Oryctolagus cuniculus: one gene and its partners. The protein of the gene in region 1 interacts with the protein of each later gene in a biochemical or structural test. Links are inferred from orthologs where the notes say so. Each region holds a gene or a part of one and is shown in the gene's direction. Other genes may lie near its edges.

What was found.
Region 2: the proteins of SIAH2 (region 1) and EGLN3 form a complex in vitro, tested with the Homo sapiens proteins (2 studies listed by BioGRID). The link is inferred for Oryctolagus cuniculus from reciprocal best matches to the Homo sapiens genes SIAH2 and EGLN3.
Region 3: the proteins of SIAH2 (region 1) and RBBP8 form a complex in vitro, tested with the Homo sapiens proteins (2 studies listed by BioGRID). The link is inferred for Oryctolagus cuniculus from reciprocal best matches to the Homo sapiens genes SIAH2 and RBBP8.
Region 4: the proteins of SIAH2 (region 1) and ubiquitin-conjugating enzyme E2 D3 form a complex in vitro, tested with the Homo sapiens proteins (5 studies listed by BioGRID). The link is inferred for Oryctolagus cuniculus from reciprocal best matches to the Homo sapiens genes SIAH2 and UBE2D3.
Region 5: the proteins of SIAH2 (region 1) and DLST form a complex in vitro, tested with the Homo sapiens proteins (2 studies listed by BioGRID, with this or other methods). The link is inferred for Oryctolagus cuniculus from reciprocal best matches to the Homo sapiens genes SIAH2 and DLST.
Region 6: of the proteins of SIAH2 (region 1) and SNCA, one has a biochemical effect on the other in vitro, tested with the Homo sapiens proteins (4 studies listed by BioGRID). The link is inferred for Oryctolagus cuniculus from reciprocal best matches to the Homo sapiens genes SIAH2 and SNCA.

Annotation. Positions count from the first base shown.
Region 1 is NC_091435.1:130,614,544-130,618,507, forward strand, and holds the start of SIAH2 (E3 ubiquitin-protein ligase SIAH2), read left to right. Parts: upstream 1-1,164; 5' UTR 1,165-1,735; coding exon 1,736-2,173; intron 2,174-3,964. UniProt on the Homo sapiens protein: E3 ubiquitin-protein ligase that mediates ubiquitination and subsequent proteasomal degradation of target proteins.
Region 2 is NC_091443.1:41,510,024-41,514,122, forward strand, and holds the start of EGLN3 (prolyl hydroxylase EGLN3), read left to right. Parts: upstream 1-1,299; 5' UTR 1,300-1,315; coding exon 1,316-1,522; exon of another isoform or gene 1,523-1,569; coding exon 1,570-2,049; intron 2,050-4,099. UniProt on the Homo sapiens protein: Prolyl hydroxylase that mediates hydroxylation of proline residues in target proteins, such as PKM, TELO2, ATF4 and HIF1A. Target proteins are preferentially recognized via a LXXLAP motif.
Region 3 is NC_091441.1:54,669,278-54,672,165, reverse strand, and holds the end of RBBP8 (DNA endonuclease RBBP8), read left to right. Parts: intron 1-1,523; coding exon 1,524-1,675; 3' UTR 1,676-2,388; downstream 2,389-2,888. UniProt on the Homo sapiens protein: Endonuclease that cooperates with the MRE11-RAD50-NBN (MRN) complex in DNA-end resection, the first step of double-strand break (DSB) repair through the homologous recombination (HR) pathway.
Region 4 is NC_091438.1:28,033,138-28,036,813, reverse strand, and holds ubiquitin-conjugating enzyme E2 D3, read left to right. Parts: upstream 1-1,273; 5' UTR 1,274-1,446; coding exon 1,447-1,890; 3' UTR 1,891-3,176; downstream 3,177-3,676. UniProt on the Homo sapiens protein: Accepts ubiquitin from the E1 complex and catalyzes its covalent attachment to other proteins. In vitro catalyzes 'Lys-11'-, as well as 'Lys-48'-linked polyubiquitination.
Region 5 is NC_091451.1:20,942,912-20,947,161, forward strand, and holds the start of DLST (dihydrolipoyllysine-residue succinyltransferase component of 2-oxoglutarate dehydrogenase complex, mitochondrial), read left to right. Parts: upstream 1-1,450; 5' UTR 1,451-1,510; coding exon 1,511-1,573; intron 1,574-2,111; coding exon 2,112-2,145; intron 2,146-3,057; exon of another isoform or gene 3,058-4,250. UniProt on the Homo sapiens protein: Dihydrolipoamide succinyltransferase (E2) component of the 2-oxoglutarate dehydrogenase complex. The 2-oxoglutarate dehydrogenase complex catalyzes the overall conversion of 2-oxoglutarate to succinyl-CoA and CO(2).
Region 6 is NC_091439.1:75,753,502-75,757,625, forward strand, and holds the start of SNCA (alpha-synuclein), read left to right. Parts: upstream 1-1,324; 5' UTR 1,325-2,052; exon of another isoform or gene 2,053-2,809; intron 2,810-2,843; exon of another isoform or gene 2,844-3,241; intron 3,242-3,531; 5' UTR 3,532-3,556; coding exon 3,557-3,677; intron 3,678-4,124. UniProt on the Homo sapiens protein: Neuronal protein that plays several roles in synaptic activity such as regulation of synaptic vesicle trafficking and subsequent neurotransmitter release.

The DNA of each region.
Region 1 (3,964 bases):
ATTGCCTTTATTCCACTTCTACAGATGAGGAAATTGAGGCCCAGATAAGTTTTTTAAGAACTTGCCCTTGCGGCTGGCGCTGTGGTGCTATGGGTTAAAGCCATGGCCTGAAGCACCAGCAACCCATATGGACGCCGGTTTGAGTCCCAGCTGCTCCACTTCCGATCCAGCTCTCTGCTATGGCCTGGGAAAGCAGAAGATGGCCCAAATCCTTGGGCCCCTGCACCAGCGTGGGGAGACCCAGAAGGAAGCTCCTGGCTCCTGGCTTCGGATCAGCGCAACTCCAGCCGTTGCGGCCATTTGGGGAGTGAACCAGCGGATGGAAGTCCTCTCTGTAACTCTCTTTCAAATAAATAAAAGAAAAAAAAGAAACAAACAAAAAAAGAACTTGCCCAAAGCCACAGACATCAAGGACACAGGCACCATTTTTCACCCAGTTGACAACCTGTTGTTCTAACCTCTGTCCCACAAAGACTACCCAATTCCCAACTAAGCAGCCCGTTCCCTTGACTCAAGCAAGTGTGCACAAAAGTAATTTAACCCGAAGCACATCTTAACCATTCAACGAACACGGGGTTCACGCCGGGCTGCCACGCCTCCAGAATCGCTTCCGCGGCGAGGCCGGTCCTCACGCAGCGCCCACAGTCTTCCTGAGCCTCACGACGCACCCTAGATGATCTCCAACTCTGCTTTAGCCTACGCTACCCCACCCCCGAACTGCTATGCAAATTAAAGATGCTCGGGTCACCAAGGCATCCTCCCCGTCAGCTGGTCACTGAATAAGGGGGGGGGGGGGTTTCCTGTCCACCCCTCGAGACAGGACCACCGAGTAGCCCAACCCCGGCCTTAACAGTCCAGCACTAGGTCCGGTGCCGGCTGCAGACCCCCTCCGAGCCCCTGGTCCCGACCCCGCGTTCCAAGCGCGACAGCCCGGCGGGCTGCGTCGCACGCCTCCCCCACGCGCTGGTGACTCAACCGAGGGAAGAGGACCTCTGGGTTTTTCCGACATGTCCCCGGCGCCCGCGCCCCGCCCCGCCAGCTCGCGTGCCGGCCCGCCCACCGGCCACGCCCCCGCGCGCCCGAAGTTGCCCCTGTGGTTTGAGGGTGGGGAACGGGACGGCTGGGCTACCCGGGGTGTGGCCACGGGACGCCGGAGGTCGGCCCTCCTTCCCGGACCGGGAACCGCGACCCCGCGCGGCGGCGGCGGCGGCCGGGGCGAGCGGGGCGTGCTCCCTGCAGCCCCAAGCAGGAAGCGCCCGCACTGGGCGGCCCCCTGCGCCGCCAGCTGGAACCGGGCGGAGCCCGCGCCGGGGCGCAGGGTGGCTCTGCCAGTCCCCGCGCGCCTGGGCGGCCGCACACGTGTCCAGGCGTCACGTCCGCGCGCGCCCCCGGGGCTTGCGTCAGCGGCCGCTCCAGAAGCTGCTGGGCTGGGTTCTGCGCGCCGCTCGGGGTCGGGGCCCGAAAGCCGCCGGGAGGGAGGAAGGCACCGCGCCGGGTGGGACGCACAGGGCTGTGCGGATCGCCCGGGGCCGCGGAGGGCGTCGGCGCGGCCCAGCCCATCTCCCACCCGCCCACCGCCCGCCTGCCGAGAGCCGACCGTCGCCGTTGCCCGGTCCGGGGGCTGGGCGCCGTGGCGTTGCCCCGGAGCCTGCCGCCCGCGGGGCGCGCACCGCCTTGACCCGGGCGGCCCCGCGGCAGGCAGGCGCCCGCAGTTCCATGGTGGGCTCCGAACGCGATGAGCCGCCCGTCCTCCACCGGCCCCAGCGCTAACAAACCCTGCAGCAAGCAGCCGCCGCCGCAGCCCCAGCACGCTCCGTCCCCGGCTGCGCCCCCGGCCGCCGCCACCATCTCGGCTGCGGGCCCCGGCTCGTCCGCGGTGCCTGCCGCGGCGGCGGTGATCTCGGGCCCCGGCGGCGGCGGCGGCGGCGGTGGCGGTGGCGGCGGGGCCGGCCCGGTGTCCCCGCAGCACCACGAGCTGACCTCGCTCTTCGAGTGCCCGGTCTGCTTTGATTATGTCCTGCCCCCCATCCTGCAGTGCCAGGCCGGGCACCTGGTGTGTAACCAATGCCGCCAGAAGTTGAGCTGCTGCCCGACGTGCAGGGGTGCCCTAACGCCCAGCATCAGGAACCTGGCTATGGAGAAGGTGGCCTCGGCGGTCCTGTTTCCCTGCAAGGTAAGCCCGGGGACCTGTCGGCAGGCCCTGAGAGGTGGGGGGCATCTTTCTTGTTTGAAGGGGTTGGGGGGGGGCAGTGTCTACCCTACGTCCACTCTTCCCCCGAGCCGGCCTGTCCACTTCGGGAGTCACTCTGGGTTGATTGACATTTGCCCGGACACTGAACCCAGAAGGATTGGCCCTCTCGCTGCTGGTGGGAACACATCCTAGCCTTCCGTGCCCTGTGCCTGCGTCCTCAGCCGACATGTGCTCGGGTGTGCTCGGTACGGCTGGGCCGCCCAAGTAAAACTTGAACTGGGTGGCTCACCGTGGGGACCGGGGAGGGAGGAAATGGGCGAGCTGAAGGCAGCATTTACCAGCACTCGGCTTGGCAGCGCTCGTACAGGATTCCTCATGCGCCCCGCGCCCCCGGTCTGCACACCCCTGACACGTGGGAGCTCCCGGGAGTGTAGCTAAAAAAAGGGCGCCCGAGCCTGTTTTCCTCCTGCAACCAGAAAGCCCTGCAAGCCACGCCTTCCCCTCTGCTGGCCTTCCCCGGGACTGAGGAGTTGTGGCTGCGTTTTTGTACTGAACAGGGTGAAAACGAGGCCGACTGGGAACTTGACAAGGGCTCCTAGGAGCTGTGTTACAGTCTTTGAAGCCCAGCATGTTATTATTACTTTTTTTTAAGTTACCAAACCACAGACCAGAAAAGTTAAGTCCAGAAAGACCAAGACCCCTCCCTTCCTTTCCCATCAGCGTTGGGTTTGGTGAGGGAAGACTTTTTAAACCATGCTTCTATGCATCCTCACAGCTAAATATAGAGCCCTCCTTGTGTGTGTGGCCGAGGAGTTTTTAATACCCACACATAAATTTTGCTCCAAAAATGACTTCTGCAACCTGGTGTTCTTAATTGATGCTATCACATGCTGTTTAATGCCTGAGCCTAGCCCAACCTTAATGCACTTGAAATGGCTGCATAGTAGTGCATTGTGTGGTCATATTATAACATCTGTTTGTCTACGGCCATTACTTTAGAATCCCCAGGAGCAGTTTCACACACTTACCTGTCTATAATCATTGAACCTAGAGCTAGACCATAAAGTTAGTCTTCTAAACTGAGAAGTGGAAATAATGCTGTTAAAAGTTAACTGTTCTGCCTCTTTGGCCATTTAGGCTGCCTTGCATATCTCTTTGGTACTATTTTTTTTATAGGGCAAGAACTCACTTTTAAATTAAAAATAATCCACCCGAGAATTCAGACTTGGAACTCACATCAGTAAAATGAGTGATCTAATTTGGTCTCCTGCCCTGCAACAAATCAGGATTAAAATAGCATATTCAAATAAGGGTTTGAATCAGGGTTTGGACGATGGGTTTCTTGCAAGCTTAATAAGTTACTTTGCTTTCAGTCCTTCATATAATGCACACTACCTCCCTCAGCCCTTCATTTCTCATAAAATTTAAATAAAATACTTTCATAGCTTTCTTAGGGGAGTGAAGAGTGTGGCAGCCTAGTGATTAAAGAAGATTGGGTGATAGTTGACATAGAGTGGGTATCTTATGTTTGAGGTGTGTGTGTGTCTGTGTTATGGGGGTAGGAGTATGCCCCATGGGATTTCTGGGGAGCCACTGTCTCATACTTTCACTTTTCTGCAGGGGTGGGGTATCTTTTCTCTGCCAAGAGTGTTGGATATTTATAACATCATTCACGGGCCACACAAAATTATCAGCCTAAAAATCAGACTATTATAGTTTTATTGAATTTTTGAGTCCCACCTGGTTTTGCCTTGGTGGGGCCAGACTGAGTGA
Region 2 (4,099 bases), on another chromosome or scaffold:
GGATGATGGGCGCCTGCCCTGGAATTTTAGGTGACAGCTCCTTGAGCACTGACCCATTTAAGCTTCCGAGGAGTGGCGCCTCCTGCTGACCATTCATACCAGGAGTGTCAGCTACTCAGCGACTTGGCAGAGGACTTCCTTTCAGTGTGAGAAGTTTCACCAAAGTTTCTTAAACCCTGTACGCTGACAGCTCCTCCCAGAACACCCCTAAGCCTCTCCCTGTGCCCTCACTGCGTTTCTTCCCGCAGAGGCCAGGACGAAGGAGAAAAAGTGACAGAATTGCAGGACACTGTGCACACAATCACGATACCCGAAAAGCCAGTTCCTTCTGTTGTGCAGTGAAGAAGCCAAGCTCACACTAAGGTGAAACCAAAAATATGGACATGGCTTTCCATGCAATATATGTGTCTCCCCTTCACACACACACACACACACACACACACCCATTCTGATTTCTAGTGCTCAGTAGGACAGGGTCAAAAAACCCACAATGCAGTTAGCTAATCTGTGGGCCACTACGACAACTTACGGTTGTGTCTGTCCCTCTCTCCCTGGCGTGGGGATACAACTGCATGTGGAGAAAGAAGAGGGACTTGGGGGACAGGGCGAGGAATATGCCCATATATTACATAGCTGTGTCACTGATTTTGCAGGTAGAATTTCAGAACATCGTGTTTTACTAAAACCGTGGAAGGTAAGTGGATGGAGACACCCAGCAAAGCAGAATGCAGTATTTGCTGTGCCTGATCGGCTATGGCTCGGCGATTCTTCATTGGCCACATCCCTCTAAGTTGAGCACAGAGTAGGAGCTAAGGGACCATGCTACTGTGTTCATGCTAGCTACAACTGCGCTCCTCCCGCCCGGCGGCTTGAGCCCGCTGGCTCGTGTCAGAGCCAAGGAGAAGGAAGAAGGAAAGGCACTTGGGAGGGCAAGAACGAGACCACCGTAGAACCTATGAGCCTTTGTTGCTGCGTTTGTTATTTTGCTCAAAAGCCTGTGCGGTGGCCAGCACGGACCGTGGCAATACCCCGCGCTCCTAATTTCATTCACTCGTAAGAGTGCGGATCCAGGTTTTCACTTTTGTTTTAGGATTTCATGCAAAACACTATGCAAATAGAGAGCATTGGAAAATTTCCAGCTCACAAACAAGTGAGACTGGCGACCGGCTCTTCGGGATCCCTGGCGGCGGGGCAGCCCCGGCGGGGCAATGGGCGGGGTCGGGGAGGGCGGAGCGGGGGCGGTCCCTGGGCGGGGACTAGGCGGGGCCGGGGTGGGCCCGGGGCGGGGCCCGTGACGCGTCGAGTCCGCCGGTTCATGGGCCGGACCTCAGCCGCTCCCAGCCACAGGCCGCTGCCGCCGCCTCCGCCGCCGCAGTGGTGGCTCCGCATCCTCAAAAGGGGCCCTCGGACTCCTCTCTGGGCCAGTCCAGCACTGGTTCGCGGAGCCCCGCACAACTCGGGCTGGCCCCTGAACGGCGAGCCCTTCCTGCCCGAGTTGCGGACAACTTTCCCTTGCCCTTGGGTGCCGCGGTGGCGCGGTGGCTCGGTGGCGCGGTGGCTCCCGGACAGTGCCCGCCGCAGGTTCCTGAACCCAGCGCTCCGCTCGCTGCGCCTCCGCTGGGCGCTGCGGCGGGTCGCTCCCCGCTCCCCGTGCGCACGTGGGGTGTCCCTGCCCTGCGTCCTGCGGGCGAGATGCCCCTGTCACACATCATGAGCCAGGATCTGGAGAAAATTGCCGTGGATTACATCGTGCCTTGCCTGCACGAGGTGGGCTTCTGCTACCTGGACAACTTCCTGGGCGAGGTGGTGGGCAACTGCGTGCTGGAGCGCGTGAAGCAGCTGCACCGTGAAGGGGCCCTGCGGGACGGCCAGCTGGCCGGGCCGCGTTCCGGCGTCTCCAAGCGGCACCTGCGCGGCGACCAGATCACGTGGATCGGGGGCAACGAGAAGGGCTGCGAGGCCATCAGCTTCCTCCTGTCCCTCATCGACAGGCTGGTCCTGTACTGCGGAAGCCGCCTGGGCAAATACTACGTCAAGGAGAGGTCCAAGGTAGGAGGCGCGCGGGCGCGGGGGGCAGCCGGAGTGAGCTGTCCGTCGCCTTCGCCGGGCTGCGCGCGAACTTCGGGGTTCATCCCAGAAGTCAGCCGGGTTCCTTTCTGGCCCCTCCACCCGGCCTTGACTCCCAACCCCGTCCAGCTCCTCTGTGCGAAAGTCCGCGTTAAGAGGCTGTTAATAGTGGCTGCTCTTGGTGATACAAGCCCGAGCAGCTGGGGCTTTGGGTCCGATTTTAAGGCACAGAGGTGCTCCGAAATCCAGACAGGAAAGGATGTTGGGAACGTTGTGTTTGACCTGAGACACACCTGGACACACCCACGATTGCCCTTCGTTGTAGGCTGATGGGATTCTTAGAGAAACAAAACAGCTGTGTTTTGCAGTGTGGCGGTTGCTTTGCGGAGCGTGGCAGGTGTGGGAAGGTGGGACGAAAGACTAGGACAAGTGTACGGTCTAAACTCTTCGCTTCGCAGGGCTGCCCTTGACTTCTTGGACAGGCGTACTGTCGGACGGACCATCTGCTTGTCTGGAAATTCTCTCCTTGTGCTAACCGCAAGCCACCACCTTCCTTTCCCCGACTATGGTTTGATGGCAAAATCCTCTTAACACAAACAGTTCAGTGCTCCTGAGAGAGGGGTCAAGTGCCTCCGGAAAGAAAGCATGTTTTTGTTCACAGAGCCGGAAGTGACTCCCTGGTTGGTAATTTATCTTGGAAACAGGTATAGGTAGATGGGCAGAAATATGGGAACCCTCACCATGATGTTGGTGCAAGCGTGTTCCTTTGGGATAGAATTGTTGCTCCGTCTCCTTCAGTTGCCAGTCCAGCCAGTTTTCCACTGGCAGTTCTGAGTGATTTGCACTTGTAGAGTGGTCTGGAAAGAGACACGCGAAATTGTGGAACACGTTTCCTGAAAACAAGTGAGGCGGAGTAGACTAGCACCGGAGGGGGAGGGAAGAGGAACATTCACCCAGGTACCACCATTCTTTGGACAACACACATAGTGTTTCTCAATCTGAGATAGGTCCAGTGATAAAAGGAAGCAGTGTTGTCTCATCTGGCCCACAGAGAGGAGCACTCTTAGTAACAGGGCAGTTTGCCAGGACGGCACGGGCGTGGGAAGCCAAGGGTCGAGGGGTGTGCATGGAGCAGGGAGCCAGACTGCTGTGTACCTTTCAATCCAGGAGCAACGGAATAGCATCTTCGAAGAAAATGCTGCTTTCTAAATTTTACTTTGATTTGGGAAAAATCCACCACAAATCGCACTGTGGAGAGGCCGACGTCAGAGTGTTTCTTTACTCCGCTCCTATCGTCTTGGTGGTGGATTAGAAAGTCATTTTTCTTTAGGTTAGGCTTGTTTTTATACCAAGTGACCTTCCTGGTCTCCTGGGGTGGGGCAGGGGGCTTAGCCTCAGTTGTTGCTAGGCCCTCCTAGCTTCAACCCAAGAGCAGATGGCTTTTTAACAGTTTTTTCTTTTTCCTTTTTTAAAGGTTTTGTTTAAACTCAGGTGTTAGAAATTTCTCCTCTGGAATTCTAGGAACAGAATTTGCTCTGGGGGAGGTCAGAATTAATTGGTAAAATCAGGTCACTTGCGTATTTGAAGGTTAAAGGGTTTTATTTAGCTTCAAGTTAGTGCATAGGGTGAGGGTTCCAAACTAGAATGAACTCACATGGAATGAAAAGCACAGTGTAAGTTAGGGAAAGGAAAAATGACTGCGAGATAGGAGTATTCGGCTATGGGTTATCTTCTGGGTGGAAAACAACTCCACTTACCCCTGTCCGAAGGTGACCGGTCTTGTCTGCTGAAGGTGCACTGCGCGTACCTAGATTTCCAGATTCGCTGGGGCGGTTTGGGCGCAAAGGCCTTCATCCCTGCCCTGGAGAAAAATCACCTGTGGATTAGGGTATTCCCTGGCCAATTAGAACCAAATGCAAACCAGATTTGAGAAAATAGTAAAGAAAAAAAAATTTCTGTCCTTGTATGAAGAAGTCTTAGTGATGTCTTGTGGCCACGAGTTTCTTGCTGGAAGCTGGTTCCTGTAGCATGG
Region 3 (2,888 bases), on another chromosome or scaffold:
TTCTTTTTCATCCTAATGTCAAAATGACATTATTATTTATTTCAATAGCAACAAGTTGCCAGTAAATTTTTATTGCTAAAAAGAGAGTATCTTTTTAAATCTATTATGTTAATTTTATATTTAAAACCTCACCCAGAATGCTGGATGTTCATAAGCTGTGTCTGAATAAAAAGGATGTTGGTTTGCCTGTTGACATTTAACTAGCTCACTCACATGCAGCACTTAGTAGTTAATATAATTTGAGAATATATACATCTTTAAAGGTGACAATAAAAGATCATAAATAGCAATTTTTGTTATTATCTTATTGTTACTACTTACTTTCAAGTGAGTGCTATGCTAAAATAATGTGGATACAGACTTTCCTGGTTTTATGTTAATTTTCTCCCAGATTTGGCCAAGAGTCCTCACATCATAGTAACTGTCTTTGGGACAGCATACTCCCACTTCTGTGCCAGGCTATTACCAGCCATCTGTACTATCCCAGTATTTAGGAAGTTCAATCATGCATAGTCATTGAGCCTGAACTTTATTGTAACCACTGGTTTAAATGAAATAAAATGCTCTAGGGTATATAGCCTTAAAAGAGTTACTCAGCTAAGCAGTGTCCAACTCAACAAGCCCTTTGTTGTGAAGATAGCATTCCAGCGGATTTTATCAGACCATCTAATAGTCTTTATCAAGGCACCTCTTTAATTCTAAAGATTTTACTCCCTACAGAACTATATTCTTAGGTGGGATGTTTGGTTTTTTTTTTTTGGAACATAGTCTAAAACTCAGATGTAATTAAAGGAATGTTGGTGTAGTGTTCAAAAGAGGATCTATTCAGATTTTTTGAAGAATTTTCAACTCAAAATTGTCCTAAGACATAATGGATAAATATTGACATCAAATGTGTGCATAAATAAATTTAACTGAACTTAATTAGTATTTTTTTTTGCTCTTTTTCCACATGGTCTAAAGACTACGCAGTTAAAGCTAAGTCTTACTTTGTAGTTTAAAGTACTGAGTTTTTTGGAAATATGATGTATCTTCTGAAATGTGACTGGAAAATACAGTACTATTCAGAATGTTTATAATTTGGTTTCTAGATTTATGAAAGATTTCACTGATTAGTAGACTTCAGGCCTCAGGCATGTATTTATAAGTTGTAAATAAATATATAAAACCTTTGCCCAGAAGAAGATAAAATAACATTGAATGCATATCAGATGATAAGATTACCACCTAAAATTGCCATTTTATAGCAACACTTCTTTTCTGATGGTTTGTTTGAGGAAAAGTAGAGACCCTTCCTCACTTTTTTCTTTGAAGAGGTGTTTTTTTTTTTTTTTTTTTTTTTTTTTTTTTTAATTAATTTGAAAGGCAGAGAGACAGAAATCTCCCATCTACTATTTGACTCCCCAAATGCCCACAACAGCCAGTGCTAGGCCTGGCGAAAACCAGGAGCCAAGAACTCCATTCTGCTCTCCCACATGAGTGGCAAGAACCCAAAGACTGGGCTATCATCCATTGTCTTCCAGGCACATTAGCAAGAAGCTGGATCAGAAGCACAGAGCAGCTGGGACTTGAACCGGGCACTTCCATAGGGAATGTAAGCATTCCAAGCAGCAGCTTAACCCACTGCACTGCAATGCCCACCACAACTTTTCTCATTTTGACAAGCTACAGATAGTCAACTGTAAGTTAGTTTTTCTGAAAGATGTGAAGTCTTTGATACTATTTACCATATTTCCACTTTACCCATTAACAAGCTGGATTAAGTCCCCTTTGACATAATGTCTCTCTGCTTTGTCATCCCACAGAACCAGGTAGTTTGGATAGAACTTCTGGTTATAGTCCTAATGGGGCCTTGGGGTATGGCAGAGTTCAGTCAACTCCTGGAAATTATGTGACTGAGGACACCTTGGAAAAAAGTCTTAATGGTCTGAAAAGTAAAGAGGCATGTCATCTAATGAAATAGCTACTGTAAAGTCTTTTTGATAAGCACCTGGAATTTGTCATAATAATAGAGTTCATGTTTAGCAGTTTTTCCCAATTGCAACCTAAGGGAGGCAGAAGAGGAAAGTGTATCCTTATAACTCTGGTTCTGCTACTAGATAGAGCTCTCTCACTCCTAGCTTTGTGAATTTGAGTGAGTTACTTACCTTGCCTGGGTCTCCATCACCTCGTCTGTGAAGTAGCTCTGTGGAAGCTACTTCAGAAGAATTTGAGTTACCTGAGATGATGTATATAAAGCATGTGGTAAATGTTTGCTGCTGTTATTGTTACTAAAGAAACTCATGCTGAGAGATCATACCTCAGCTAGCAACCAGGAGAATCACATCAACTTGGCTTCAAATAAAATGTTTACTAAAAAAGTGCTGAGAGAAATATGTGTTACAAATGCAGTCTTCTAAATTTGTAATTTGTTTTAAGGTTACATTAAGGAAGATCTTGATCCTTGTCCTCGTCCAAAAAGACGGCAGCCTTACAACGCAATGTTTTCTCCAAAAGGCAAGGAGCAGAAGACGTAGATGTTGATGCAAAAATAGAAGAATAGAGGATGGTTTTTCTTTTTAGTTATTTATAATTAAAGTTGGTATTAAACATTTGATTTTTTGAATCTCCTATAAATTGACTTATAAATCAGTTTTCTATTGAAAATGTTTTAAAATGCCATTTACTCACCATGTAACTATTTAAAATGTGGATATATTTGTGTTGTATTTTCTTGATTTTGTACCTTTAAAACAAGAAGGTGTTTTCATTTTGCACTCTTAAGAGTTGTTTATTTACTTTATTTGGTAATACCTAATTACAGTTTTGAAAATAAGATAGTTGTAGTCTGTGATTTGTTGGCTTTGGTTTCTTCTTTTTACTTCATCTTCCCTTAAAGGAGAAAGGCT
Region 4 (3,676 bases), on another chromosome or scaffold:
TCTTCTGCAATATGAAGATGATGGTAGTGTACATGCTGTATGACTGTTGTGAGGATTAAATCAAACACCCTATGTTAAATGCCACAGTGCCAAGCCCACAATATGGATTCAGTAAGTACCAGCTATTATTGTAATCCCTGTTAGAAGGGTGATGATACGTCATAGGACTTCAAAATATCTTACAGCAAGCTGGTTCTTTCTGGCTTATAATCAAGCAATTTCACCACCTATGCAGGAGATGATTTGTAGTTGGTGCATGTAAGAATTGAAATGAAAATAAATCTAAACAAAATGTGCTATTAGAGCTCATTCATCTGTCTTTTAGAATTTTCGTTGCTTCAGGGAAAACTAAATGGAAGAGGATGGCTAAGGAATCCTCCTTTGTTACTTGTATGAGTTAATGCATCTAACAGGAGGCTGGTTCTTAGTGCCAACATCTTGGTAATGCTTTGATAACCCCTCATGTGCTGAAAAAGTCAGGATGTTTGGTCCTGGTGGAGAGACTGGCAATGACTGAATCGAGCTCCTCAATATTGTTAATTTGGCAGCTAATATTGGCAAGTCTCTCAGTTTTATAGAACTAATTTTCTTCCACTGTAAATGGGCACTCATTATTTATGTCTGGTCAAGGATTCTGAGTGTTCTAAGATCTCTATATTTCAGGCCCTAATTCCTGAATAAGCTGAAAGACTGATTGGTGCATACAAAATGCCTTTGTCAAATCTTGTTTATCTCTGCGGGTCACATTAGATGTTGTGACTATTTCTCATGCTGGTATAGCTTGATCCAGTTTCTGGCTCATTACATTTGTTTCCTTACGCCAATAATTTTTCTCTCACAGCTGAAATGCTCTATTTGCTTCCACCTCACACCATTCTTGGCCAAATTTTCAGGGAATGAATAAGGTTGTGATATAGATCTCAAGTCTGCCACAGGCACCCAACTTCCAGGCAGGAAAGGAAAACAATGAATGTAGAAGAAAGAAATATGACTGCAGCAAGAGAAGGTAGAAACTGAATTTATCCATCTTCCTTTGCTTTCTCACAATGGAGCCCTTTGTGAAGTTAACTGCTGTTAAAAACAAATTGTCATGAAAAGAGACTCAGAAGGTAGGAAGACAAAGATCAATTAGAAAGCATACCGATTCAGTAGTATGATAAGCTAAATATTTGGAGAAATTTACTCAATATAAAATTCCTATCAAACTAAAACTCCACAGCATTTTTAACCAATATTCAAGAGTGAAGATGAAATTAAGATATTTTCGAGCCGTCCACGTCGTTCTCGCGATACCCGCCGCCTCCATACCAAGCGCCTGTGTCTGGCAGAGCCGGCGTGAGACCAAGAGACAATCCTTCCCCGCCGCCCGGATAATCAAGAGTTTTGGCCGGACCTCTGAGCATACACCGAGAGAGGGAGAGAGGAGCCAGACTAAAAGCACAGACTATGGCGCTGAAACGGATTAATAAGGAACTTAGTGATTTGGCCCGTGACCCTCCAGCACAATGTTCTGCAGGTCCAGTTGGGGATGATATGTTTCACTGGCAAGCCACAATTATGGGACCTAATGACAGCCCATATCAAGGCGGTGTATTCTTTTTGACAATTCATTTTCCTACAGACTACCCCTTCAAACCACCTAAGGTTGCATTTACAACAAGAATTTATCATCCAAATATTAACAGTAATGGCAGCATTTGTCTCGATATTCTAAGATCACAGTGGTCTCCTGCTTTAACTATTTCTAAAGTTCTTTTATCCATTTGTTCACTGCTATGTGATCCAAACCCAGATGACCCCCTAGTGCCAGAGATTGCACGGATCTATAAAACAGACAGAGATAAGTACAACAGAATATCTCGGGAATGGACTCAGAAGTATGCCATGTGATGCTACCTTAAAGTCAGAATAACCTGCATTATAGCTGGAATAAACTTTAAATTACTGTTCCTTTTTTGATTTTCTTATCCGGCTGCTCCCCTATCAGACCTCATCTTTTTTAATTTTATTTTTTGTTTACCTCCCTCCATTCATTCACATGCTCATCTGAGAAGACTTAAGTTCTTCCAGCTTTGGACAATAACTGCTTTTAGAAACTGTAAAGTAGTTACAAGAGAACAGTTGCCCAAGATTCAGAATTTTTTAAAAAAATGGAGCATGTGTATTATGTGGCCAATGTCTTCACTCTAACTTGGTTATGAGACTAAAACCATTCCTCACTGCTCTAACATGCTGAAGAAATCATCTGAGAGGGAGGGAGATGGATGCTCAGTTGTCACATCAAAGGAAGCAGCATTATTCTAGCAGCATCCATTCTTGTTTAAGCCTTCCACTGTTAGAGATTTGAGGTTACATGATATACTTTATGCTCATAACTGATGTGGCTGGAGAATTGGTATTGAATTTATAGCATCAGCAGAACAGAAAATGTGATGTATTTTATGCATGTCAATAAAGGAATGACCTGTTCTTGTTCTACAGAGAATGGAAATTGAAAGTCAAACACCCTTTGTATTCCAAAATAGGGTCTCAAACATTTTGTAATTTTCATTTAAATTGTTAGGAGGCTTGGAGCTATTAGTTAATCTATCTTCCAATACACTGTTTAATATAGCACTGAATAAATGATGCAAGTTGTCAATGGATGAGTGATCAACTAATAGCTCTGCTAGTAATTGATTTATTTTTCTTCAATAAAGTTGCATAAACCAATGAGTTAGCTGCCTGGATTAATCAGTATAGGAAACAATCTTTTGTAAATGCAAAGCTGTTTTTTGTATATACTGTTGGGATTTGCTTCATTGTTTGACATCAAATGATGATGTAAAGTTCAAAAGAATGAATATTTTGCCATGTTCAGTTAGAGTGCACAGTCTGTTACAGGTTGACACATTGCTTGACCTGATTTATGCAGAATTAATAAGCTATTCAGATAGTGTAGCTTTAATATGCTGCACCGTGATACTGGCAGCCCTGGAGTTCATAGATGGACTTGGGACCCAGCAGTTTTGAAGCGTGTATATGGAGTTTTAAGAAATTTATTTTCCAGGTGTAGCCCCATCTAACTAAAACTTATCTTCACCTTGTACACTTGACAGCTGATAAAAACATAACTTGGGAGTAATAATGGGTCAAAATTTACAAAATAAAGTACTGTTTTGGTGTGGGAGTTGTCATGAGGCTGTGTTGAAGTGACTTAACTATGTGGGATATTGAGTATCCATTGAAATGGATTTGTTCAGCCATTTACATTAATGAGCATTTAAAACAGATCATTTCAGGTGACTTAACATGAATGAATAAAATGCTATTGAAAAAAAAAAAAAGAAATTAAGATATTTTCAGACAAAGAGAAAATTTACCAACCACAGATACTCACTGGAAGAATAACTGAAAAAAATCTACTTCAGGTAGAAGATTAAAAGTATTATTAAACTCAATGGTTAAGTCCCCACTTCAGACACCTGTGTTCATATCAGAGTGTCTGGTTTGGAGTTACAGCTCCACTTTCAATTCCAGAAACCTGTTAATGCACACCTTAGGAAGCACTGGTGATGGCTCAAGGAGTTGGTCCCAGACTGAGTTCAAGGCTCTTGACTTTGGCCTCACCCAACGCTGAATGCTGTGGGCATCTGGAACGTGAACCAGCAGATAGAATATCTCTCCTGGTCTGACT
Region 5 (4,250 bases), on another chromosome or scaffold:
GGAGCTTCGGAAATAATCCAGGTGAGGGAGACCGAGGATTGGTCACAGCGGCAGCGGGGCACGGATTTTTCCCTGCAGGGTGGACAGTGAGAGAGAGAGACAAGACAGAGAGAAAGGTCTTCCTTTGCTGTTGGTTCACCCTCCAATGGCCGCCGCGGCAGGCGCGCTGCGGCCGGCGCACCGCGCTGATCCGATGGCAGGAGCCAGGTGCTTTTCCTGGTCTCCCATGGGGTGCAGGGCCCAAGCACTTGGGCCATCCTCCACTGCACTCCCGGGCCACAGCAGAGAGCTGGCCTGGAAGAGGGGCAACCGGGACAGAATCCGGCGCCCCGACCGGGACTAGAACCTGGTGTGCCGGTGCCGCAAGGTGGAGGATTAGCCTAGTGAGCCTCGGCGCCGGCTTTCCCTGTGTCTTAAAATCTGAGCTTGAATCATCGCCCGCTGCCTCCCGGGGGGGTCCTTGAGAGAGGAAGCAGAATTTGAACCAGGCACTCTGACACGAGACGTGGGCATGCAAGGCAGGACGTGAGCACCGCGGCCGATGCCTGCCCTTTCTTCTCCCGATTTCTGGTTGCATTCTCCGCCCCCCACCCCCAGTGGTACTTTCAGCACCTGGAGAGTCCTGACCAGGTAAGCTGCTTCAGGTGAAGACACCAGAAGGCACAGGCACAGACCACTCGGTCACACTTCATCAATTACCAGTTCAGCCGCAGGTTTATAAACCGCCGTCTCTATCAGGCAGGTGATGATCCATAACATTCAGGGGCCTGGGGACCTAAGGGGCGGCCACGTGGTTTCACTTAGGGAGCAGCAGAGCAGTGTGCTGACGGCAGGGAGGCCCGGATTCCGCCCACAAACTCTGCGCACCTGAGCTGTGCTGGGGTGCAGCAGCGAACAAGACCGAGTTTAAACTCCAGGTGATAGGAGTTCACGTTCTCAGGGCGGGGCCAATTTCCAAAAATGTGCGGCATGTACAGGAAACAGTTTGGAAGGAGAGCTTGAGGGTGTGTGTGTGTGTGTGAGGGAGAGAGAGGGAGAAGCCTGATGCTCTGAGAGGCAGTGACACCTGCCCAAGGCCACACAGGTGTAAGATCAGGCAGCCACGTATGCCAGGATCCGAGTTCAAAGCCCGTGCCTGCTTTTTGCTCTCTCTTCGTGGGGCAGGGGGCAGAATGGCTAGGTACCCCGGGGTCTCAGACAGAAGAGGGCCAAATTCCGAGCCAGCTCCGGGGAATGGCCAGGGAACGCTCGACCCCGGGGGCCCTGCGGTCGCCGACAGTCGTAGGCACCCTCGAGAGGGCTGTCTCGGGCAGGCAAGCAGGCAGCTCAGTGGCCACCACAGCCTGCTCTGGAACGCCGGACCCCGCGCCGCCCAGCCGCCCCCACCACCCTCGCCAATGGTTCGCTCCGAACACCCCTCGCAGCGTGGCGGGTGCTGCGGCCCGCCCCACTTCCGGTTGTTGCCGGGCCCTATATCCGGTGTCCGCCCGCCCTCAGCGCTGCTGTCGCGATGCTGTCCCGGTCCCGCTGCGTGTCCCGGGCGTTCAGCCGCTCGCTCTCCGCCCTCCAGAAGGTATGGTCCGGCCGGGCCGGAGCCTCGGCGGGTGAGCAACCTGCTGATGGACAGACGGGCGGCCGGGAAGGCGGGGGCGCAGCGCGCCTGCCAGGCCCGGCACCAAGGGCACTGGGACGCAGAGGCCGCGGGCTGGCCGGCCCGGGACCGCCTCGCCCTCGGGGCTGTGTTTCGAGGCCTGCGGGGCAGGCCTTCCCGAGGCACCCGCACCGACCGTCACCTGCTGCCCCCCGCCCCGCGCGCCGGGGCTGGGGAGCCGCTCCCGTCCCGACATCGGACGGCCTCTGCTGGACACTCGGGGGCCCGTCCCGTCCCTTCTGTTGAAGCCCGGGGGTGTCAGTCAGTCCCGTGGGGAAGTTGGGACGGTCGGGCGGACGCGGTGTGCCGGCGGGGTCCGCGCCCGTCGCGGCTGTCCGTGGAGTTGGGAGATTGCCCGTCCCCAGCGCCGGGGCAGCTTTGCGTGCGCGCTTCGCAGGAGGAGCGGTTTCTCCCCTCGTTTCACCTCGGGTGACGTCGATGATGTCTTCTTTCTCAACAGGGGAACTGCCCTCTAGGGAGACGCTCCCTGCCTGGTAAGTTCTGCGCCGGCCGTCGCCTGACCCGCTCTCCTCCCGGGGCAGAGCGGCGTGTACGGCCACAGGCAGCCCAGTTGCCGCCTGTACCCGCAGCGTCACGGAGTGTTTGCTGTGCGCCAGGCCCCTGCCAGCCCCTCGCCCAGGACCCAGCAGCCCGCAGGCCAGTGGGAAAGGCCAGATGTGCACGCACTACCCATCAGATGAGCAGGCGCGAATTTTGGTTCGCGGGGTTGGGGTGGGGAGGACAGGGGCGCCTGCTCCGAGTAGGTGACATCGAGTCTGCATCCTGGAGGATGTAGCCGGGGAGAGCAGGAGGCAGAGAGGGAGTAGCTTGTCCAGTCCCCGGGTAAGGAAGGAGGCTGGCAGTGCTTGGGAGCTGGAGGAGAAGGGGGTTCGGCCAGGCATTTTGGTTAAGGGGGAGAGTGCCGTGAGATAGCAGACGGAGTCTGCATTGTTGGAAGGAGTTTAGTTTTTTATCCCTTTTTTTCTTATTTTTTGGGGGAGATTATTAGTAGTTTATCTTATATAACTTATCTTTAAAATTAGGTGCCTTGTATATTTGTTGGATGAGTTAGTTTTATTGTAGGCTTTCATTGTACCAGATATTCTCACTGCGATCTGTGCGTATTTTAGTTCATCATCACAAACCTGAATGAGAAGTATTATCTCTATAAATGCATAACCCAAGGCAAGAAAGGGTAAGTGCTTTGGCCAAGGTCACTCAGCCAACTACTGGTCAAGCCAGGCCTACCTGACTCCCCAGCTTGAACTCTTACTTTTTTTTTTTTTTAAAGATTTATTTATTTGGAAGGCAGAGTTAGAGAGGGAGAGATAGAAAGAGATCTTCCATCTGCTGGTTCACTCTCCAATAGCCACAGCTGCGCCAGGCCAGAGCCAGGAACTTCACCTGGGTCTCCCACGTGGGTGCAGGGACCCAAGCACCTGGGCCATCTTCCACTGCTTTCCCAGGTGCATTAGCAGGGAGGTGGATCTGAAGTGGAACACCTGGGACTTGAACTCGTGCCCTTATGGGATGCCAGTGCTGCAGGCAGCTGCTTAACACTGACTCCTCAGCCTAAACTTTTTTTTTTTTTTTTTTAAGATTTTATTTATTAGAGAGCTAGAGTTATAGACAGAGGGAGAGACAGAGAGAAAGGGTGTCCATCCACTGGTTCACTCTCCAAGTGGCCGTGATGACCAGAGCTGGGCTGATCTGAAGCCAGGAGTCTGGAGCTTCTTCCAGGTCTCCCACGTGGGTGCAGCACCCAAGCACTTGGGCTGTCCTCTGCTGCTTTCCCAGGCACATTAGCAGGGAACTGGATTGGAAGTGGAGCAGCTGGGCTCAAACTGGCACTCATATGGGCGCCTGCTGGCACTGCAGGCCATGACTTAACCCACTGTACTACAGTACTGACTCCTAGCCTGAACTCTTAATCCATTATGTTCTCATTTACTCATGTACTCAATAAATGGTTTGAGTGCTACTACAGTGCCAGCCCCTGTGCCTGGTGACAAGGAAACAGCAGATGGTCTCCACATTCGAAGATCTTAGGCTGGCTGGAGAGAGCGTGAGCAGATGTTTGTGCACACGTAAGGACATGATTGCATTGTGGGTACTCAGAAGTCCAGCTTGATGAGACAGGGGATGATGCAGTCCAGCTTGGGAGAGTAGGGAATGCTGATAAAGGCTTCCCTGAAGAAGTGACATTGAAGCTGAGACTTGAATACGTAGAAATTAGCCAGGTAAATGATATTTCAGGCAAAGGGAATTGCTCTGTCGAGGTTTTTAGGCAGGCTGGGAATTGCCCTATTAGGGGAATGGAAAGAAGCCTACCTGGCTGCAAAGTTAGGTAGGACTGGATGGTACAGGACTGTGCAAAGTGTTTGGACTTTATCCTGAGTCCTGAGAATGTGAGACACCAGCACTGTGTCAGTTCCTAGCAGGCGCTCAGTGATGAACTTTCTCTACTAGGAATCCCGAGAAATGTCAGTAAACATTCTCCTCTTTATAGACTGGCAGGACAAGGGGGGGACCCTTGCACGTGGGGTTGCATCTTGGCTGGGCATTCACCCGGGGTAGTCAGTCAATCCCCGGAAGCCCT
Region 6 (4,124 bases), on another chromosome or scaffold:
TGAAAATGTTCTGGGTTTTCCAAATAGTGCAGATTTTTCAAAATGGACACATAGCGACACTTAAGAGCTGAGCATTTACTCTATGTAAATTATAACCAAGAATAAAAATTCTCAAGTGCTATGGTGATTATTGTTTCATAATTTACATTTTGTGAATCCATGTTGAAATGTTTACAGATAAAATATGCATATAAAACTTGGAATTTACTTAAAAATGAAGATTGGTAGCGATAAAGTGGAGTGTTTATAGTTAGATATGATTAGGCAGGCATTGAAACATTGTGAAAGTTGGGTGATACTCATGTGAGAGTCTTTGATTCTACTTCTGTACATGTCTGAAAATTTTCCATAATAAAAAACTGAAAAGAGAGGGATCATCTAGTTCACCTCCTCATTTACAGGAGGAAAAGCTGTAAACAGGAGGACATAACTTGCTCACGGCCTTAAAATCAGATGGCAAACTAGCTCCCGTGTCTGCTTTCTTCCTCTGATCCCAGGAAAACAAAATATGAGCGGCTGTATCGTCCAAAGGCTGTTTTTCAAAAGGGAGGCAAGGAGTGTGAGGATCTATTAAGTGATAAATACTTGTGATCTAATTTTCACATTTTTTTTTTCTTCGGAATCTATCTGTATCATTTCTTTCTACCACCATCCCCTCCCCTTCTTATGTATTGGTTGTCACCTGTCATCTATCCATCTTTTATCTAACAATCTATATATTTAGCTATCTCTATCCTTTCTATGTAGTCGTTAGCTTCCATCCCTTGTGGTTTCAAGTTGTGCTTTATAGGTGGAAAGCACATCTGACTCAAATTTCAGAACCCAGATGCGTGCAAGCGGCAGAAAAACAGAAACAGACCAAGGAACAAACGAGGCAGCAGAGCCTTGTTCTCCCCTCCGTGCTAAGCCCATCTCCAAGAACCGGGCCAGGAAAGCAAGGCCTTCTGCTGGAGGGGGGGAGCCTGGTTCTCCCTTCTGGTGTGATCTAGGAACAGCTGTTTTCCACCCAGCACTGACAAGGGTGAAAATGCGTTAAACGACGCAGAAATCGGCGGGGGCTCTCTCGCGTGTGCCGTGTAAGGGGAGGGGGTGTCAGCTCGGAGGGCAACGTGCACCACGTTGGATTTGCCTCCTAGACCTTGTCCTGGGGTCTGGAAACGAAGCCGCGTTTCCAGAGCGAAAAGCCTTGGGGCCGCTCGCTTTCGACGGCTGGGGAATATTTATTGCCTGCTTCACAGATGGGGAAAAAAAAAAAATCAGCTTCTGGCAGCCGCTGATTGGTGGAAAAGAAAATGGTGAGAGCCTGGTAGGGAGACGATTTGACGAGTCCCCTCGTGCCTCCCGAACCTGTATCTGTTGCTCGGTGGTCCCCAGCCTGCCCGCGGGACCCTTTCGGGCTCACCCGGGGTTAAGCGAGAACAGAAAACCTCGAGGATGTTCGAACAAAAGCGACCCTGCACGAGGCGCCCCTCGGCCGTGTGCTAAGTGTCAGGAAGCGGGCTGACGCGGGGCAGGTGCAGGCGCCCCCGCCGCGCCCCGTGTCTCCTCCGTCCGCTCCCGGAGCCAGGCTCGGCTGCGACGCCCATTCCTCGGTCCCCAAGCCCCAGGGTTAGGCTCTGCTGGGAGCGAGGTCCCCGAGAAACCAGAGGAAAGGAGACAGCGAGGGAGCGGGTGGAAAGAAGAGACCTCAGCCCGAGCCAAAGCGCTCCGGAGGTCCGCACGTTCCCGGTGCCTCTGAGCCTGCGGTGAAGCACCGGGCCCCGCGCCTTTACGCCTCCCAGGCCGAGGCGGCCGGCTGCAGTGGCCGGGGCCACCTGCCCCGCACCCCCTCCCCACGGAGCACGAGAGCCGAGAGCACGCGCCGGGAGCGCAGCGAGCGCGGGAGAGGGGCGGGGAGAGGCGCTGACAAATCAGCCGTGGGGGCGGTGAGTCGAGGAGATCCGGGCGCCGGAGGAGGAGGTGGAGGAGGACGGCGAGGAGGAGGACGGCCGCGACCAGGGGCCCGCGAGCGGGACGACGGCGGAGCGGGAGTGTGTGCTGACGCGCAGCGAGGTGTGTGCTTGGCCTCTGGGCAGCCCCGGGACGCAGCCCCGCCCTGCGCCTACCTCCAGCCCTCCGCCCGCCTTCCCTCGCGACCCTCGCTTTCTTCCTCCCCCATCCTCCGTGCGGGGGACGGGGAGTGGCAATTGGACGCGAGGTTCGCGCGTGTGCCTCCCACGTCCCCCGCCTCCCGTCGCTGGCTTGCGCTGACGGCAGCCTCCTCTGGGGATCATCCGTCTCTTGGCGCCGCCTCCGCCCTTCCTGTGCGCTCCCGTCCCCTCCCTTGGCCCGTTTAAATAATATTTGGCACTTGTTTAAATTAAAGGGAAAGGGGGGGAGGGGAGGACTCGGAGTCCCGGAGAAGCAGAGTTCTCGGGTGAGTACCTGTGGCTCTGAACGGGCAGCTTTGGAAATCGTGGAGAAACCCGGGAAGGCAGAGGAGCCGCCGCGGACGCGGGGTGGTGGTAGGGTGCACCCCAGGACCGCGGTGTCCAGGCTCTTGGTGGGGCGTGCAGGTCCCTCGCGTGCACGTCAGGAGTGGATGTTGACCCAGCTCTCCCCGGCCTCCCCAAAGGCTGCGAAATCAGCGGCTTCTCCGGGGTGCGTTTTCCCCGCGGAAGCGCCGGGTGCTGGGTGGAGCAAGAGCATCCAACTTTTCTTCTCTTACGGTAACCGCCACCCCGTAGGCCGCTTTTTCGCTGTTTCCCGAGAAGAGAGGAAACAGCTTTGGCCAATTTCTAAATAAAGTGCAGAGGGGACAAGGCAACAGGTAGGAAGGGGTTAACAGGTGCAGGCGCTAGGTGTGCTTGGGGGTGCGGTGCGGCTGAGAACGCCCTTTAGTGTGGCTGGCAGGGGTGTGGACGCTGCCAGCGGGTGAAGACCAGCGCCTGCTCCGGATAGATAGCAGAGGGCGGAGGTGGAGGGCACCGTGGATTCAGAGGAGCGTCCCCTGGCTCCTTCCTTGTTGTCTTGCGGTTTAACCACATGCAGAGTGAGTAGTGCTCTTCCCTCCCCTGGGATCAACCTGTTACCCCTCTTCTGGGATTCATTTTAAGGATGCGCCTGGCCATGGCCCCCAGCTCCCGTCCTTTTCCTGAGGTCTTTCCTCTAAACCTCCTGCTGACTTAGAGGGTCACCCTTTGGACCCTGGGAAGTTGGAAGAAGGGCGCATCTGTTCCTGCCACTCCACTTCTGAGATGCAGTAAGAACAGCTCAGATGCTCTCCCTGGTCAGCATGAGTCAAGATGGATGGGGGAGGAGAAATTCCTAAAGCTAAAGCTTAAGGGGAGTGGGCTGGGGTGGGAGTGAGGGGCGGACTGCTTTGTCCAGGTGGTTGAAATGAGGGGTCACGTCAAAGAGTTTTCACGCTTTTGGGGATTTCTACAGATTTTTAGTGTTTTCGTTTTCTGTTTTGTTTTTAGCTTGGATGGTTTGAATTTTGCTTGCTTTTACCAAAAAGTTCTCACTCAGCATGTATTTTGTGTTTTCCAGTGTGGTGTAAAGGAATTCATTAGCCATGGATGTGTTCATGAAAGGGCTTTCAAAGGCCAAGGAGGGAGTTGTGGCTGCCGCTGAGAAAACCAAACAGGGTGTGGCAGAGGCTGCAGGGAAGACAAAAGAGGGTGTTCTCTATGTAGGTAGGTAGCCCCCCCACCTCCCATGTCATTCTGATACTGGTCCCTGATTGATTAGTTACAATGATGGATACAAGAATGCTGACATTTCTCACGTGATTCGTTCTTGCATCATCACTTGTCAAAAGGATGGATTGAGTCGGAGGACTGGGTAGGTAGGTGAATGTGAAGGTGTATGTTTGAGCTAATCGTGAGAAAATGTGGCTAATCTTTTGTTTCCCCAGATTTTTAAATGTTGCAGTAACACTTAGAACACTTAGAACTTTTTTATCCTTTTTTTCCCCAATGAATGAGTGGCTGTATTCAGAGGGCTGTTTGGAAAACTTAGTCCTTTTTTAAAAAATTAAAACATTTCTAATGATCAAAATAATTCATCGACTATTGATCTCTTTTATCATGATGAATAATATTTACTAATTTTAATGTCTGGCAATTATAAAATAAGACTTT